Tribolium castaneum: one gene and its partner. Each later gene encodes a partner of the first gene's protein in a complex. Links are inferred from orthologs where the notes say so. Each region holds a gene or a part of one and is shown in the gene's direction. Other genes may lie near its edges.

Region 1 (3,185 bases):
AGTTCATTGGTTGTTTGGAGCATTTTCTTGGAAAAACTTTCGTTTGGCTCCTCAGAGGCGAGAGCACTTGGGATGGGTTGGTGATCATCATTGAATGGAATTGTTTTAGCGACAAAAACCCTGCTATTGTTCATAAACTTCGGGATAAATTCCACGAAACAAATTTTATCAAGCTTTTTCAATTTTCGGAAACAGACAAGAACTTTGTTCTTTTCCACACAATACTGCCAAAAACTAGCAAAGAGGTCCAGCTCTTCCTTAGGATCCACCTCGATGATTACCGGGTTTGTCAAAACAATGCCCACATCCGTGACCCTGTCAGACACCTGAACTAGGGTGTAACCAATTGGTAGGTCTGTGTTTCTAATTTTGAAGCGTTCACTAACACTGAACTCGAGTGAGCCTAACTCATAGTCAAGCTTGTAGGTTTCAATGGAGTCATTTACTGTTTTTGAAACCTTTTTCAAAAGTTTTCCACTTTCGGAAACGGAAGCGTTGTTGTAAAGTCGTTCCTCTTGGACAAACGACTTCTGCCTGATTTTAAGAAACCGTGTTTGGTCATTCGCAAAAGGGAAAAACAGCAACCTCCTTTGATAAAATCTCCTGACAACTGAGGAAGAAAGTTTCTCAAATAAACCATCTTCATCTTCCACAACTGTCTCAACGGGAGGGCTCTTAATGATTGAAAATAACTCATTGTAGAAAATTTTATAATCGAAGTTGGGCTTCATGGTCACCAACTCGAAAGTGATATCATTAGACTCGAAATTTTTTGCTTCGTTAAGTGCAGCAAATCTTTGGTTCTTGTCACCACGAACGGGGTTATCGTCGTTGGTTATGAAAATGATCGTTCTTTTGTAGAACACCGAATTGACTTCCTTGAACTTTTTTTTGCAAAAGAGGAAAAATGAACTCAAATTTAAGCCGCTTTTTCTTTCATACATATCCAACAATTTTTCCTGCGACAATTCATTCTTTTCTTTAAGCAATTTTATTGATTGTAAGATGTTATCGTTGAAATTGACAAGCGACGCTGAAGCATCTTCACGTGCCAATACCACACCAAAAGGGCTCCAGCTTCGCTTATTTTGGACAAATATTAGCGAATTTGCCAGATTATAACAGGCAGAAATGCAATCCTTAAACGGGGTATTGCCATCGCTTTCGTTTTTAACAAACATCGAAGGGTCGGTATCGATTGCAATGAGGACGAAAGATGGTTTGTAAAACGTGTTAGAACTTGCAGATTCGTCTCCTACGTCTTCGTTATCTGACATCTGAAAAGAATAAGTTCATAAAACATCTTTATTTATAAACGTATTATCAATAGGTAGTAACATTTCTCACCTTGATTAATTAATTAACAGTAAACAATCAAAAAGAACAACAGCAACAAGTTTACACAAAGTTGCGCCAAATTTGACGTTTTGTTGACAATCCCCTTGAAAGCGAACCACCAGAAAACATAAATCCAAAAATGCGAATAAATAAGTCTAACATTTACTCTAACTATATGTTGCTGTACAACGGCACAAATTAATACGCGCCTAACGTAGTTTTTATGAAAAAGAATTAAATTAATTGTGTTTTCTATTATTCGACTTTGTGAGACTTGTAAACCTTGAACTTGGAATGGTTGACAATTAGCTATATAACCTTACTTTTTTCTAACATAACCTTGAACTGAGAGATTTAAAATATAATTTGCAAAATACACTATGCCCGTGGATCACAAAAGAATCAACGGTCCGGAAATTTCAATTCCGTACCAACTATTCGACAAATTAAATACAAAATCGTTGAAAACCCAATTCAGTGAAATAGTGCAGCCGAATGGGACACGAGCCGATGGCAGGACATCAACCGAACATCGAAAAATATGTAATTTGTCTTTAGGCCCTTGCGTGTTCCTTGATCTAATTTTTAATTTTCTAGTCTTGAAAACTGGGGTTGTTAGCCAGGCCAAAGGCTCAGCGTACATTGAATTAGACCAAACCAAAGTAATCGTGTCTGTATTCGACCCCCGCGAGATACCCAACAAAACTGACTACAGTTCCAAGGGCGAAATCTACTGCGAGTTTAAATTTGCACCCTTCAGCTGCCACAAACGTAGGTTGCACCAGCAAGACGCTGAGGAACAACAGTTCAGTGCTATTATGAAACAAGCGTTGGAATCGGCAGTATTCAGGCACGAGTTTCCGAATTTTCAAGTCGATATTTACGCAATGGTGCTGCACAATGATGGGGCTGCTCTAAGTGCGGCTATCACGGCAGCTGGGGTCGCCTTAGCACATGCTGGGATTCCAATGTATGATTTAATAACGTCAGTGACTTTAGCTGTGCAAGGGAATCATCTTTTGGTCGATCCAACTTTAGAAGAAGAACGTTTATGTCAAGTTCCTCTGTTTAAAGAAGAGGAAAACAATCACGGGATTGTTGTGCTGTCGGTTTTAGCGACACATGAGCAAATTTCACAATTTTATCAGAGTGGATATTTGTCGTACGCTTGCTTGAGTTCAGGCATTGAGATGCTTACTAATGCTGCTAAGGACATCGTTACTTTAGTTAAGAAATGTCTTGTGAAACATGTTATTAAGAGTGTAAGAATTGTTGAAGATTAAAGAAATAAATTATATTTTATTTAAATATTTTTTTCACTGTCAAGTAAGGCACTAAAGTTGAATTTTTATTACAAATATGGAGTTAAAAAAACAAAAAAAAATTCGCGAAGTATGAGAACTTTGGGATGTTATGCAACCAATAATACAGACTTTAGTAATTCAGTCTTTTTTAAACACTTTCAACACGATATAATTTATACTGAGAAGTACTTCTTGACATACACTTCAAAGTAGTATTGGAAGAATTTAAGATTTTGCTCAAACAATAAACGAATAAAAAATAATACCTTTTTAATTTTTTTCTTGGTCTCCGTGGTGGTCAAATTCAGAAATTAAACCGTTGAAAGTATAGAAATATGATGTCCTAGACTTTTTGAAAAAAAATTACTTCTTTACAATTTTTTGTATCTTCAACCATATTCGCAGCATTCGCAAAAATATAAAATGGAACGTAAATTGAGCGTTAATTCTTTGCGCACTGTCCCATATTTATCAAAATGCTGGGAATACGGTTGAAGATGCAAAACAGTGTATGGGACAAAGTTGTAGAAAATTAAATTTTCT
Region 2 (3,240 bases), on another chromosome or scaffold:
TCTTAATAAGGTCGTGGAAAACAGTTCCGGAGTTATTGCCCGATAAATGCTCCGGGTATCGAAATCAACCAAAATTTTCGCAAAAATTGATAAATCTGATTTTATAAAACCGGTTCAATTGACGCTTTTGGCACATCTAAAGGCTCTAGAGAAAAGTCCACAAAAGATAGTTTTCAAGTTATAGGTAAAAATCGTAAATTGAAGTGTTCTCATGTTTTTAACATATCACAACGTAGAGTATGGAATATAATATACGAAATTAAAGCCATAATGAAATTTCCCGCCCCGAAAGTATTTCAAAAAAAGTCAAAGTTGTTAATAAAAAGGGCTTCAATCTGTTTTTTTTTTTTTAATTGAGAATAAATGTCAATGGATGTAAAAAAACTTGGAATAATTTTCTCGTCGTTCTTGAAGATACTTTACCTCATGTTCTTTGAGATAAGCAAAAATGCTATCCCTATACTCCTCCATTTCAAAAAAGACATCTCTAGCATTGGTATTTGTGGAAACCGTTTGCTCTTTGAGCTCAATGTTCTCCACATCTGATTTCTCAATGCTCATCGGAATCTCCGATTTTCTCTTAAGTTGAGGCGCAGTAATTTCCTTCAATTTCTCCAAATTCTTTTTCCTTTCAATTTCGGCAAGTTCTGTCTTCGTGATAAACCTGTCCTCGGCCGTCCCTTTATACACATTACTCTTACTGATAAGTTTGAGCCTTTCATCGATTCTCGCTCTGTATTCATCATCCTCATACACAGTAAACGCCTCAAACTGGGCCACCGGAACCACGACATTCTTCTTATTCTCGTTTTTTTGCCCATTTTCCACCCGGTTTCCCAAAACGGTTGGCTTCTTCGTCTGGCAAAAAAGCAAACGTTTTTCCCATCCAAAGTTACCTCCAACTGTTAATTACCTGTTTTCCTTTAAGGGCTGCGTTATTAACTTTATTACTGTCAATCTCGCCCAGAACGCCCCGTTTTTGCTGGGCAGTCGTTCCCGGTTTTCGGCGCAATTCCGGCACCCGGTTTTCCTGGTCCTGGTGAATTCTTATCGATGCCATTCCTCTAACACACGTGCAAGTTTCTAATACCCGAAAAACGAAAAGTTTGCTGAACCGAAGGCCAAACTGAACCCCAACTTAAACACCCAAGCTACCCCTAACCGACAAAACGACTGTTTTTAACGGCCAGATGCAAAGAGCGCAGAGTGCGGGAAACGAACAGCTGAGAGACCGTTGAAATGACAAACGGGACCAATGGGAGCCCAGATTTAAGCAACGTCACACGAGTGGGGATAACATGTTTTGAAGGGTTTAACGGAATTTTGCACTAAATCAAAAATCAATCGACAATACTTGTTCCCAACCAAATGCCCTATTTGCAAGCAAATGTCTTCATTACAAAAATTGCATTATTCAACCGAATTTACTCGTTTCAAATCAAACGTTTCCCCCACCGTTGTCGGCAACCAATCAAAACTAACGTCATTAATAATGTCAATTGTCAAAAACGAAAAACGTGGTTATAAACAAATTCAATAATGTCAGAACAATACAAGTAATAATTGTAGTACTGTGAATAAATAACAAGGTGATTATCCTATGTTTTAGGATTTTGCACCCCGTCAAGTACTTCCGCGACCACTTGGCCCACAAAATCCGACCTGATGGGCGCGAATTTGGGGAATATCGCCCCATCGTGGTCAATTTGGGCTCAATTTCGACAGCCGATGGGTCTGCGATTGCCAAAGTTGGTCGCACGACGGTAGTTTGCGGCATTAAAGCGGTGAGTGTAATTGGAGGCATTCAATTTGCTAAACCAAACCTTAGGAGTTGTGTCAGCCCAAGGCTGAGGCTGCAAACGAGGGGTTTTTGATCCCCAATGTGGAATTACCACCGTTGTGTTCGTCAAAATTTCGGCCAGGACCCCCAACTGAACAAGCCCAAGTAGCGACCCAGTTAGTTGCCGATATTTTAAAAAACTCTGATTGTTTAGACTTAAAAACGTTATGTATATTTCCAGACAAATTAGCTTGGTGTTTATATGCTGATTTAATTTGTTTGGATTTGGATGGGGCGTTGATAGACGCGTGTGTTGTTGCGTTAATGGCAGCGCTTAAGTCAGGTAAAGACAATATTGTTTTTTTGTGAAAAATATAATTGCGCTTCAGTTACTTTGCCAGCGGTTCAGTACGATCCAGCCCTTGACAACAAGCAAGTGAATGTGCAAGAGAGGAAAGCTCTTAGTGTTACCAACACTCCAATAGCAACAACGTTTGCAATGTTTGATGAGTAAGCTTATCATTGTTGTTGTAAACTTTTTAATTTTTTGATTGTAGTAAAATTCTCATAGACCCAACAGTGGATGAGGAGGACTTAAGTACGTCTTTGGTGACAATTGTGGTGAAGGAAGAAGAGTTGTGTTTTGTTCACAAGCCAGGTGGCTGTGTTTTTACGGAAGAGCAACTTTTAAAGTGTGTGGAAGAAAGTACAAAACGTGCAACTGTGATTGAGGAAATTATAGAAACAGCTTTTAAAAGTTTATAATAAAAACATTTTTTTTTATAAATGTATATCCTATATTATTTAAATAAAAATTTTAACAGGTTCCACAGTAGGTTGTGTGATCATTTAACCGAATTTAAAATTAAATCACCACACATTTATAAAAAAATCTATTGTCTTTGTTACAGGATTGAAAAAATAAAAATCGGGAAAAATCAACACTTTACATTTTAACGAGTATACATATTGGTATTGCCAAATATTCAACACGTGTCTGAATTTATGTACAAAAAATACGAAACATTGCAAATAATATACATTATTACAAAATACTACAACTCACCACATAATCACATATGATACAAATGTAGAGACTAAGGATGTTAGATATTTTTACAAAGTATTTTACACATTTCGTTCAAAAGGGAAATAAGTCTACTGTATGTACAGTTAAAAGTTTGCGCCTAGGACAGGAATGGTAGTAGAAAAATACCAGGAACAATAAATAATAGGGGTTTTAATAAAAATTTGTATATTTTAACAATGTGTAATTTTACATCGTTGATGTTTTATAAAGTATAACATTTTGTCCTCGTTTATGCCTGATATCTTAATACTACAAATATTTTTTTGTTGATGATCCGATTTTAGAAGAATTAAAACAAATGTAACCAGAAAATGAAACATTACACAACCATTAATTGAGTATAAAAATAAAACTACTTAAAAACAATCAT

Evidence for each region. Proteins that work in one complex are often made in the same cells at the same time.
Region 2: exosome complex component MTR3 (region 1) and exosome complex component RRP43 share a complex: the UniProt entries of both Homo sapiens proteins name them as parts of the RNA exosome core complex. The link is inferred for Tribolium castaneum from reciprocal best matches to the Homo sapiens genes EXOSC6 and EXOSC8.

What each region holds. Positions count from the first base shown.
Region 1 is NC_087396.1:13,655,976-13,659,160, reverse strand, and holds exosome complex component MTR3, read left to right. Parts: upstream 1-1,578; 5' UTR 1,579-1,718; coding exon 1,719-1,881; intron 1,882-1,935; coding exon 1,936-2,621; 3' UTR 2,622-2,646; downstream 2,647-3,185. Other genes in the region: X-ray repair cross-complementing protein 6, read right to left, coding at 1-1,277. UniProt on the Homo sapiens protein: Non-catalytic component of the RNA exosome complex which has 3'->5' exoribonuclease activity and participates in a multitude of cellular RNA processing and degradation events.
Region 2 is NC_087402.1:7,982,227-7,985,466, forward strand, and holds exosome complex component RRP43, read left to right. Parts: upstream 1-1,411; 5' UTR 1,412-1,539; coding exon 1,540-1,556; intron 1,557-1,609; coding exon 1,610-1,784; intron 1,785-1,828; coding exon 1,829-2,123; intron 2,124-2,169; coding exon 2,170-2,290; intron 2,291-2,337; coding exon 2,338-2,545; 3' UTR 2,546-2,615; downstream 2,616-3,240. Other genes in the region: CycA (G2/mitotic-specific cyclin-A), read right to left, coding at 424-858, 914-1,060. UniProt on the Homo sapiens protein: Non-catalytic component of the RNA exosome complex which has 3'->5' exoribonuclease activity and participates in a multitude of cellular RNA processing and degradation events.